3 linked regions of the Oryzias latipes genome follow. The protein of the gene in region 1 interacts with the protein of each later gene in a pairwise test. Links are inferred from orthologs where the notes say so. Each region holds a gene or a part of one and is shown in the gene's direction. Other genes may lie near its edges.

What was found.
Region 2: the proteins of zbtb8a (region 1) and fam161a interact in binary tests that used the Homo sapiens proteins (3 or more experiments, as listed by UniProt). The two-hybrid records come from large-scale screens. The link is inferred for Oryzias latipes from reciprocal best matches to the Homo sapiens genes ZBTB8A and FAM161A.
Region 3: the proteins of zbtb8a (region 1) and telomere zinc finger-associated protein interact in binary tests that used the Homo sapiens proteins (3 or more experiments, as listed by UniProt). The two-hybrid records come from large-scale screens. The link is inferred for Oryzias latipes from reciprocal best matches to the Homo sapiens genes ZBTB8A and ZBTB48.

Annotation. Positions count from the first base shown.
Region 1 is NC_019880.2:16,761,352-16,765,738, forward strand, and holds the start of zbtb8a (zinc finger and BTB domain-containing protein 8A), read left to right. Parts: upstream 1-1,489; 5' UTR 1,490-1,622; coding exon 1,623-1,687; intron 1,688-1,702; exon of another isoform or gene 1,703-1,933; intron 1,934-4,387. Other genes in the region: gale (UDP-glucose 4-epimerase), read left to right, coding at 94-208, 856-920. UniProt on the Homo sapiens protein: May be involved in transcriptional regulation.
Region 2 is NC_019859.2:4,112,602-4,117,006, forward strand, and holds the start of fam161a (protein FAM161A), read left to right. Parts: upstream 1-1,524; 5' UTR 1,525-1,695; coding exon 1,696-1,851; intron 1,852-2,244; exon of another isoform or gene 2,245-2,587; coding exon 2,588-2,856; intron 2,857-4,405. Other genes in the region: cct4 (T-complex protein 1 subunit delta), read left to right, coding at 108-342, 415-528, 606-620. UniProt on the Homo sapiens protein: Involved in ciliogenesis.
Region 3 is NC_019865.2:24,218,375-24,221,717, reverse strand, and holds the end of telomere zinc finger-associated protein, read left to right. Parts: coding exon 1-87; intron 88-174; coding exon 175-263; intron 264-2,259; coding exon 2,260-2,460; 3' UTR 2,461-2,805; downstream 2,806-3,343. UniProt on the Homo sapiens protein: Plays a critical role in transcriptional regulation and chromatin remodeling. Acts as a regulator of telomere length. Directly binds the telomeric double-stranded 5'-TTAGGG-3' repeat.

The DNA of each region.
Region 1 (4,387 bases):
TCACCGTATTAAATCTACTTTGTAAAATAATTTTATGGGCTTTAAAGATTTCTATGGCTGAGTCATGTTGCAAACACTGTTTCTTCTGTAAAGATCCCATACAAGATCGCCCCCCGTAGAGGAGGAGACGTAGCATCCTGCTATGCTGACCCTAAGCTAGCTGAGGAGGAGCTGGGATGGAAGGCTGAATTTGACATGGAGAGGATGTGTAAGCTCCACTTATTGACTCTAAATTAAAACTGGACGGAGTGTGACGTCACTCATAGAAAGTGACTTACTTCTGGCTCCAGTGAAAAAAGGTTGATTCAATTTTTCGTGACACGGACACTGGCACGTTGGAGCCAGATAACATCAGTAAGCAGTGATGGTCCGAGTCGATCTGAGTGATCATTTCTATGGCAAACCATTCTGGCCAATCAGGAGAAAGCTTGTTGAGAGGCCACACCCCTACCACTTGAAAGTGGGCTCGGGAGAATCTGTCAATCAAACGTTCAATCTGAGACCTCTGAGTCATCTGATTGCCCAGTTTAAAACTTAAATAACTACAGAAAAAATAGGATTAGCAAGAACATGTTAAAAAAAGGTTTTAGGGCAAAAATGGTTATTCTGCCAGATATAATGACTGAGTAATAGCTACTTTATTTTACTATAGAAGTCTATGGCTTCTTGGAGTCAGCAGGTACTTCCTGTTTAGAACCCAAGCAGGGATGGGTACCTCAGTCCAGTTCTCATATACAGTCAATGGCTCCATCACACCGTGCAGTCTGATAATCTGCAGAAAATACATTCAATTAGCTGCGATCATTTTTCAATAATCTGTGCCATCTTTATTTTTTCTTCCTCATTTGCATTCAGGTGCAGATCTGTGGCGCTGGCAGTCCATGAACCCCACTGGATTTTCCAAGAGCACCAGCTCTTGATGAATGCTGGGGGGTGTTATTGATTATTTTGTGTTAATCCACCAAAGCAGATACTATTTTTTTGTCATGTCATAAATGCAACATAAGGCCTCAAATTTGAATTTCTTTCTATTATTTTTGGAATTTGTAACTAAAATCTATTCAACAGATTTTTTGTCTTTATTTGGTTGTTTCTGAACAGCAGGGATTCTTTTCTTAACTTTATAATTATGGAAGCCATAAAAATGATGAATAAAATAATTTTCTAACAGTAAAATTGTGCTTTCTTTTGAAATGTATTAATTGGAAAAACCCCTAAGGACATATTCTTTAAGATTATTGGTGCTGTATTTTTTTATTTTTTGTGGGGTTTTTTTTTTTTCATACGGATGGAGAAAGAAATATGTTGTAATAAGAGGATACTGGAGGAAATCATGGTAAGGTGAGCATGAATTCCTGCGTGATCTCGAGTGGGTATGGTCGTTTTTAGGCTGAGGTACGTGCTGTTCCTGTAAAAAGGCACTGGGGCTTTAAATGGCTCCCTGAACCCTCGGGCACCCTGTTAATAAACACCCACGTCAGCACGGAGCTCCAGTCTCTCTGACCGGGTTTCGGTCTTTAGGGCTGAGCAGGAAGTGCCTGGCTGTGGACCCTGGACGGGGAGAAATAAAAAGCGGAGGGGGAGGGTCAGAAAAGGCACAAATAATCATTTAAATAAAAAAAATGGATATAGAGGTAGATGCAGGGGCAAGTAGAGTGTGCCGGGCGGCGGGTGAATCCAGTCACCAGTGAGTATCGATGCTTTTCTGACGGGGTATATATATCAGGGCGTCAGCGGGTCCTTGCCGACACCTCGCGCCTGCGAAGGCGTCGCTCGCTCCGGGCAGCAGGCGAAAGCTGCTCGCTGTGCTCCGGACCTCCGGAGAGGAGTGGGGGCGCCTCTCGCGGATGGAAACGGGCGTTTGTTTCATCAAACTGATTCGTGGTGTGGACATGTTTATCTGAGCTCGCGGCGTGCTTCGCCGCTGGAGGAGGTCGGTGTCTTTTCTTTTTTCTTTTTTTTCCATTGTGTGCTGGCTGGAGCCTGAAGTGGGCGTCGCTCCAGGACAGACGGGGCTGCTCCGGATCGCCGCTACCCGCTTTCCTCTCGTAGGACTGCAGCGTTCTCGTGTCCGTTTGGAGGTCGCGCGCGGCCGAACGAAGGGGAAATTGCTCGATTAACACACGAGACTCGGTTCTGAGTGTGATTTGAAGTACCGGAGTGTTTCAGGCGGGTGTTTCGCCGAGGGTTATCGGGCGCTGCGGAGCTTTTCGAGGCGTATCGCGATAATGAAGGACGCATTTAAATCCATCAAGTCAGTCCAGACAGGAAAAATGACTTGCTGGGTTTTTATAAAGTAGTCTGTCTTTCAAATATGAGCTTTAGGCAAATTATTAGTATGCCTTTCGTTGTTTTTTTTAATGGCTTCTATTAGCTGCAGAAATCTTTATTTATAACTGTACAGTATATTTGATTCATCATTCATTTAACCAACAGGGTTAAATAAAGGGTTTGTTACCCGCCCTTCCTGATAGAGTCGGGTGTAATCCATTATAAAGCATTTCCTGATTGATGGATCACCCAGCCAATCAGAGCGCAGAACGGTGGGCCGGTCTTCCTTCAACATGATCCACTGCACAAAGATGCTGCCAGAGTAGAACTTTAGGACATCTTATGCTTGTTTTTTAATAGCTACTTAATTACTGACATTTCTATGGAGCCCTGAACCCGCAAATTTATATTTTGTGCACAAATTTGAGGATCAGTTCCTTCTACTAATTTGTGGCCTACAAAAACAACATTCTGTGGGAAAAATACATGTGTGCACAAAATGCTAACAAAATATGGCTTTAAAATACAAATTTCTGTGCAATAAATACACATTTGTGCACACATTATGCCAATTAGTGTACACAAATTTGTGCACACTAATTTTTGGCCACTAGTTTTTCCTACAAAATTATAGTTAAATATTCATTTGTGGCCACGAAATAACGGAGCCTTGGAAATGACATTACAAAAATAAATAAATGGTTCCCTCACATGTATTTTTAGTTTTTTTTTGCACAAATTAGCATTTAGTGGCTACAGAATAGTATTTCATGGGGACAAATAAGAGTTTTAAGGGGGAAATTAGCATTTTGTGGCCAAATATTTGTATTTTGTGGCCACAAATTAGTAATGTAACTTGAAGATGCTAAAATACTATTTTATTTGCTAATATTAATTTTTGGCCATAAATTAGTATTTTCTACACACAAAGTAGCATTTTTTTTGGCCCACAAATTAGCATTTTGTGCGCACAAGTTAGAATTTTGAGGCAATGAATTTGTATTTTTTGGGCACAAGTTAGTATTGGAACTTGAAGATACTGAAATACTCATTTGTTTGTACTAAAATGTAAAAAAATAATAAAATGGTCATTTGTCTACACAAAATACTAATTCATGGTTACAATTTTTTAAATGAGTAAAAATTTTGTTTCATTTAGAGCTCTGTACATTTCCCCCGTGCCTTTTAAAATACTAAGTTGTGACTACAAAATGCTCATAAATTACTAATTTGTATCCACAAAATGCTAATTTGTGACCACAAAAGGCTTATTTGTGTGTACAAAATACTAATTTGTGGCCACAAATGATATATTTGCAAACATGGCGTAGTCTGAATATGCAGTCCTGGGGGGTATTCCAGAAAGCAGGTTATGCTAGCTCCCACGGTAAGTTTGAGGCTAAGGAAGTTGATAATCTGTTCCAGAAATGGAGGTATGTTTCAGGGTATGTCAAGTTGCCATGGCAACTCATGCTCATAACATAACCTGGGGCCTCATTTATAAAACTTTGCGTAGGATTTGCGTCAGAAGTGGCGTACAGATGAAACATAGGACGTGCGTACGCACAGAAATATTCAGATTTATAAAACCGTGCGCACGCACATCCTACGCATCTTTCCCTTAATAAATCACAATCAATTCTAAATGCAGCGCAGCTTTTGCGGCTTCATGACACGCCCATAGTTGCCCATAAATAGTCCGCGAAACGCCCACAAATGAATATTCATGGATTGCGAAATCATGGCAAACACAGAGAGGAAATGAAAAAAAACGTAACTTCACTCAATGTGAAGTAGAAGTTATCGTTGGTGAAGTGGAAAAGAGGAGGAAATGTTGTTTGGAGGGCACAGTGTGGGCATTACTAATGCCAAAAAGGCACTTGAGTGGCAAACGGTGGCAGACGCCAAATGCTGTAGCCTCACAACCTCGGACCGTGGCCGAAATAAAGAAGGAATGGTCGGACATCAAAGTCGAGGCATAAAAAACGTCTAGCGCTGCATCGCCAGAGTGTCTCTGCCACCGGGGGGGGGGGGGGCACCGGAGCGCCAGATGCACCAGGTGACACGCGTGGTTCCTCCGAGTGCTCTTCTGTAACGCCGGGCCCAAAAGCCCGCA
Region 2 (4,405 bases), on another chromosome or scaffold:
TAAACAACAAAACCTCTGACATGACCTCAGTTATGTTTGCACATATCTATGTATATACTATATGTTTTTGGTCATAAGCGTATGCTGATTGTTCCTCTGTTCTTCAGGGCTCTGATAGCAGGAGGCGGAGCTCCAGAGATTGAGCTGGCCGTGCGTCTGACAGAGTACTCGCGCACTCTGGCTGGGATGGAGGCGTACTGCGTGCGCGCGTATGGTGATGCTCTGGAGGTCATACCCTCCACACTGGCGGAGAACGCGGGCCTGAACCCCATCTCCACGGTGACGGAACTCCGCAACAAACACGCACAGGGAGACAAGATGGCCGGCATCAACGTCCGCAAGGTCGGCGTGCTTTCCTTTTGCTCCGTCTGTGCGCGGTTGACAGCTTGACAGATTTATTTATTTTTTGGACAGGGGGGGATTTCAAACATCTTGGAGGAGCTGGTGGTGCAGCCCGTGCTGGTTTCCATCAGCGCGTTGACTCTGGCCACAGAAACGGTCCGTAGCATCCTCAAGATCGATGACGTGGTAAGACTCAGAACTGGATTCCCTTTTTCATTTTACAGAAGTATGATTGGAAATTAATTTTTGTGTTCTGGTTCCAGGTGAACACTCGATAGGTCTGTCCGGTTTCTGAAGCCCGTTTGTTCTGCGAGGGATCAGAGCATCACGTCGACAGCAGTCTGCTCCGATTTCTGCTGTAGTTATTGCATTGCCTAATTTAATAAAAGGCTGTGGGGTTTTTTTTGTTGACACTGCTGCCTCTTTTTGTCTTTCTTTCTTTGTCTTTGTCTTTATGTTGCACTAAAGTGTAGTACACAGATTTAGAAACATGTTCTGGTCTTCATTTTTTTTAAATTGTATGTCTTGAAAACCGCTAATTTGAAAAAAGTATGTGAAATATTAACGCAGAGTTAACACGTATTTACCAAATAATTTCTGCAGCATGAAAAGATGCATAAAATCTGGTTTCTAGTACTTATCAGACTAATGGTAACATTATAAAACATGACCTAAATGTAAAATGTTGATTTGCTGTTATAAAATAAGGTTTTCTCTTGATTAAAGAGTAATGACAGATCTTTATTTGTCATTGTCACGCATACAATAGAATTTAAAGTGATTCCTGGTCAGTCTAACACTCATACCTTAAAAAAAATTAGACTCCAGGCGCCGGTGCCTCTGACCTCATGCTCATCCAAGACGTGGACGGTGCTGCTTTTCTATAGAATTGGTTAAAAATGTAAAATCTTTAGATAGAATTTTTGTGTGTCTTCAAAAATTGGGTGATGATCATGGCCTGGTTCAAAAAAAAAGTCCTGCTTCTATGCAAAATAAATTCAATGCATAAGTAATTTTATTATTTGAATTAAGATACTTTTTTTTATTTAAGTAGCCGTTTTCATTCAATTAATCAAATAAGAAAAAAATATATACATTTTAATGGTCAGAACCTGTGTTTACTCGATTCATTTTAAGCGTTCAGTTTAAAAATGTACACGTTTCCAACGCTTTTATTTTGTATCAGAGCTTTGTTCTTTGCTTCCGTTTTACGTCACTTCCTTCCTAACGATGCTTCTCCGTTGCTAAGAAGCCAGCCAACCTGACAACGACTGTTCCCTCCGGGGAACGAACTAAGTAACAGAACCTCATCAAGGCGCTTTTTTAAAAAAAAAAAACTGTTTCAACAAAAAGATGGCGAATCCTCACCGGACGAACGTTTTATTAACTTCCTGTCTGAAGGCGCCGGTGGACCCGCACACCAAGGCGCCGCTTGCGTCATACGAGCGCGGGGCAGTCCTAACGCACGCGACTGCAGGCCAGCTGGACAACCGGGACTATGAGAAAGAGGTAAACACATGTTTAAAAATATTTCACAATAAAAGTCACACTTTCAAAATAATAATCTTTCTAAAAATAGTTAAGACAACTCTGTATTTATTGAGATATATAGAAACTTTGTATACACTTTAGATTGGAGGTTGTTATACTATATTTTATTTATTTATTTATTTATTACAATGTGAAGGTGGGTGAAGCTGTTGTTTTCCTGTAGTCTGAGTGCAGCTCCCTCTGACCTGAGACAGGTTATGTCCAGTTAACAGGATGTTGACAGTTTCAGGTCAGCCAGGTGGAAGGGATTTGATCTGTCATTTGTTGTCCCGTCTATTTTTGGATTTCTGTCTTCACTAGATTACCAGAAGTCTTGTTGGGTCGGTAATCTCTTTTATATCCTTTTAACAGCAATGACCTTCTGTGGAAAAAACACCTCGTAGCAAGTTGGTCTAATTTTCAGAAACGCTTCTGACAAACATCCTTTTTAATGGAGGCCGGACACTTTAGGAGGAGTAGATGTCAGCGGAGCTCCTTCATGCTGAGCTCACCTTTGTGTTCCAACCATATGGCTCTGATCATTGTGACTGCAGGATAATGAGCTTAGTCCTGAAGACCTTACTGCCCCTCAACAGGGCAGCAGTGTTCTTTAGGGCATAGAAGTGAAAACAAACTTTTAATAAATTCATGTAGGAAGCCTTCAAATACCTGTTAATTAACATGATGATCCTTGAGTGACCTTTGGGCATTTCAGCTGGAGTTTTGGGACTCGGGCTCGGATTTCTGTGATGAGGACTGTCTGGGGATGGGAGGAGCTCACGTGGGGGGCAGCTTCAGGGCAGCCGTCGACCGCCTGGACCTGAGTGAAATCTTCTTCTCCAATGAGGAATACTACAGCAAGCTGGAGGAGCTGAAGAGGGCCCACGAACGCACCATGGCAGAGCTGGAAAGCATGTACCAGCAGAAGCTGCAGCTCAGGTCCGGTGAAGCTTTTGATATGAAGGCCCTGGATATCGGTCACAGGTCAGTTGGGCCGGATTAAAGGAATTTCTTTGACAGTTTAACACTAATTTTGCAAACCGAGACTATTGTTGTTGTTTTTTTATTTTATATATTAACCATATTTTCACTGAGATTAAGGGACTTTGATTATGAGATATTCATTCCTGCAGAAATAAAATAAAATAATTAGCTCAGCTGCCTACAATTGAACATGTTTTAGGGTTGCTTTTAAGAATAAAAAACAAATTACCTGGAAAGCTTAAAGATTTCCTCTTTAAATTTTTTATTGTTCGCATGTCCATTTCTTTTTTAGATTATACTGTCATGCATGGAAGAAAGCTTCGGCCTATCTTATGCATGTTTTGCAGGATTCAACCATTGACTGTAAATGAGAACTGAACTGAGTGACCCCTCCCTCCTGGCGTCCCAAACAGGCCAAAATCGCATAGACTTCTATAGAGAAATAAACAGAAGTTCTTCAGTCATTCTATTTTTCAGAATAACTATTCTTGCTCTGAAACCTTTTTTTTTAAAGACCCACTTCTATGAAAACTGTGATTTTCATAGAAAATCACAGTTTTGTGGTGTTTTTAACATGTTCTTATGGCATTTTTCTGAAGATGGAGGACAACTTTGAAGAGAATTAAGGTTATAATTGCATTTCTGAGTATTTCTTTATTCAAATTGCTGTGAATCAGGAGCAGATGAGACAAAAAACAGTTTGAAAAAGAGGATATTTGTGATGTAGAAAATACGCTGGGTGGGCCAAAAGCTCCCTGCTCCATTCTGAGCTGGAATCTGGATCTAGACTGTACGGTTGAAGAGCTTCACCATCATCCACAGTAATGTTAGGTTGGGGGTGTAAGGGCCTGAAAGGTAGCGAGAGAGAGTGTAAACAGAGAACTCTCTGCTGTGGGTGACAGACGTCATCTTTAGCTTAACCCCTAACCCAAAACTCAGAGGTGAATTTCTAATGAACTCCTGCCACTCTGCAGAAACTTTTAGCCAAAAAAAAATTATTTTGGCTAAAAACAGCATAATCATAATTGAAAGACCACTGGGAATGCTCTAAAAATCAAAAGATTATCATAATTCTCAATAATCTTAGTTCTTTCATGATATTTTTTCTGTTGTAAAGGTTATTCAAGCTATAAGCTGACCCATCAGATGCCTCAATAAAATTCAGCGGCCAAAGTTTTGTAAACTTGATTGACAGGTGGTAGAAATGTGGACTTCCAACAGTACCGATTGGTGAGAGTTGTCGCCATAGAAATGCAGGGGTCCAATTTGGACATATCACTGCTGACTCCAACACGGTGGTGTCTGTATCGCAAAAAACAGACGACTGAATTGATTACATTTTGTTGGAGCCATAAGTAAACCATTTTCCATGGGTGACGTCACATTCACTCAGTCCAGTTCTCATATACAGTCAATGGTTTTAAGTAATTGGCTTTGGGCGGGGTTTAGTCTGTGCTCGAGGTGGGTCCAAGTCTTACTTGAGCGGGATTCAAACGGTAGTTATTTGGAGAGTCGTCTAAGAGTTCATAATTCTTTTGAGGCAGAAAAA
Region 3 (3,343 bases), on another chromosome or scaffold:
AGAAAGGCGCCCTCCTTCGCCACAAGGCCAGCAAGCACGAGGAGGGCCGTCCCCACTGCTGCCACATCTGTGGGAAAACTTTCAAAGGTGAGGCATGCTGACCTGGTCACAAACACAGATCTCTGTTGGCGCAAAAGAAACTGCAAGCTGTTTTTTTTTCTTTCCTTTTTCCAGCAAAGGAGCAGATGCGTGTCCATCTGCGACGTCACAAAGGGGTGAGGAACTTTGAGTGCAGCGATTGTGGCTACAAGTTCACTCGGCAGGTTAGTGCAAACGCAACACTTCAGAAAAATTAGATACAAAACACCAAATAGATTTTGTTGTTTTAACATGTTTTCTTAAAATTGAAAAATACTGTATAATCAGAGAAAATATGGAGAAACAGGCAAAATGTACGTTTTTAGAATTTAGTAAATCTCTGGTTTTAGTCGATAGAAATTTTTTTTCTCATACTGTCAGAAATCGGAAAATGATTGATGGGAGAAGAAAAAGTTTTGACGTACTGACATATGTCACACCCCATGTGGGATTTAAACTTTGTTGGCCACGAAGGCTACAAGGCTTTATGAAGTTTTGCAAAGGTTGAAATTAGTGCAATCGGAGGGGGGGGGGGGGGGTATTTTTACTGCACCAGAATTACTTTACTCTGGGGTCGGGTTCATTTAGGAGGTTTAAAAACGTATCTGAACCCTGGTGCTTACCAAAGGTTATGTGAACTCTGGACCACATCAAAAGTGAACCCCGACCTTGCAAGTGAATCCTGGTGCAGATAACTACAGTGTGAATGCAAATATACTGTTGAGTGGACCAAAAAGTCAAAAAAGCGAACCAAAGCGAGTGGTAGGTGTAAGAGCCATGTCATTCGGATAATCTGTTAATAAAAATGTTTAAATTTCTTATTGGTTTAGTTTTTGTTAGTCCTTGTTCCATTTGAGTTCAGCCTCAATCGGTGTAAATGCAATCAGTTCAGAGACTTAAGAGGGAGCCAATTTCTAGAACAATAACTGTTTGAGAGGACAAAACATTCTCCTTCCTTCTTAAGGTATGTGAAAGAGTGTAACCATGAGGTGCTTGATCTGTCCGTGTTCATCCTGATATAAAAACAGGCAAACTTCAGAACAGATGGAAACACACATGCAGTGCAGCTGAAACACGTTCATATCCCAGATCATTTCATGAGGGAAGAAGTTTTGGGAATATAAAAATGTTTTAGTTTTATAGTTAAGATCAAAATCCGACTGGTTGGGGCCTAGACAATGGATTTAGTTTTGACCATTACATTGTTGGTTCCACCACTGCCACAGTGTTTGTGCTTCAGCAACTGATCAACCAACTGTTTGTCAGCAAATTTGTCATTTTTCAGACATGGAAGGAAAAACCCAACACAAATGGATGTGACACGTGTCCATCTTTCTGAGCTGTCGCCAGCGCCTTTCAAGATTTAGATTCTGCATCACAGAAAATTTAAGAAACGCAGGAAAAAAACTAAATTGTGACTGATTTTAAACAAGAATAAAGCATAAAGAGTAAATAACTAGGAATCATTTTTCTTTGTAACTTAATAAACAAAAATAATAATTTGTTCTGCACTGCTTTTCTGATATCTTTTTCCCTGTGGAAGCAATTTAGTTACTTAATTAAATAAAATTAAGTTTTTATGTTTAAAGACGCGTGTTGCAACCATTGAGTGTATAAGAACTGGACTGAGTGACTCCTCCCCCCTGGTATTCCAAACAGGAAGTACCCTCTGGCTTCAAGAAGCTAAACTCCCAGACTTCTGTAGAGAAATAAACAGCTGTTACTCAGTCAATCTATTTCTCAGAATCACCATTTCTTGCTCTGTTTTCTTTTTATAACCTGCTATATATGAAGTCAGAAGCCTCAATAAAAGCATGTGGTCTCACGTTGTACATTCAAAACGTTAAATGCCAGATTATATCAATTCCACTTTAAGTAGGGGTGTGGACTTCCAACAAGCTCACTCGATTGGCGAGAATGGTTGCTATAGAAAGAATGACTCAGACCAACCAATCACTGCCTACTGACGTCGTCTGGCTATAACACGGTGACATCTGTATAGTCAAAAAATTGCACTTTCTGTGACGTCACACTCAGTCCAGTTCTCGTATACAGTCAACGAGGAAAACTTATTTTCTTTAATTCCAAACTGTTTGTTTTCAACTATGAGGGATTTGTGAAGATGCTGTAAAAGCAGCTTGTCTTTCAGGAATCACCCCTGTCTTCCGTCTTCTACTCCAGGCTCACCTGAGACGCCACAGCCAAATTCACAAACGCACGGAGAACTACAACCCACGGCAGAGGAAGCTGAGGAACGTCATCATCCAGGATGAAGGGGAAGCCGCAAATCCTGGTGAAGCCCCGAATGTCATTGATGCCTCCTCAGACTCCACAGACCTACTGTCCGACCTGGGCTCCATTCGTATCGTGACAGTGGAATAGTGGAAGTAGTCGGTAACCAGAAAACCGGACAAGCTGAGGATGCAGGAAGCCTGTCTGTAGTTAAGTCTGCTGGACCACCAGGCTTTGGGAGGACACGGTTATAAAGAAGACTCTTCTAAACACCTGACATTTCCATCTTTTTCTCAGTAGGATTTGTGCTTGATATTAGAGATATTGATCCCTAACACAATGTTATCCAACTGACCTGAAATCTGAAAAAAAGAGAGTCTGCTAATGTTTAGACAAAGAATTCTAAACAGAAGAAATGCACGCTGAAGTAGGATCCTGCATGAAATGTAATTAATGTAACTACAGCAGATAATTAAAGTTCACCACTCTTCATCATCTTGGACTTTTTTTTGAATAAGAACTGACAATATTTGAGGTTGAAAACTACATAAGCCTACGCTGTAAAATGCATAGAAGTCTCACTCCGATCATCTTTTGATCTGTTGTCAAATCGTTCCCAGTAGTCTTTACTTAGGATCATGCAGATTTTAGGCCAAATCAATAAACCTGTATCGTTGTGTAGGACGTAGTTTGTGCAGAATGGCAGGAGTTCAATAGAAATTCATGACTAGTCAACTGCCTCGGTTCCATCTGCACCTGACTTGAGCTCTTGCTGGGGCAGTGCTTAGGGGCGGGGACCTGGGCTTGGCCGTGGGACCGGCTCTCTCTTGGGTCCTCTTTCTTTGACTGACCCCCGATCATCTGGAAGCTGTCCCCGAGCTGCCGTCCTTCCTCATTCGACAAGTTATTCGGGTGATTACAGTTTTGAGGAGGTGTGGCGGCGTCCTGTGTTATGGATAGTGGCCTTTGTTGCTTTGCTGCTAACTCTCTGGAGGTCATTGACCAGGTCCCCCCGTGTGGTTCTGGGGGTTTT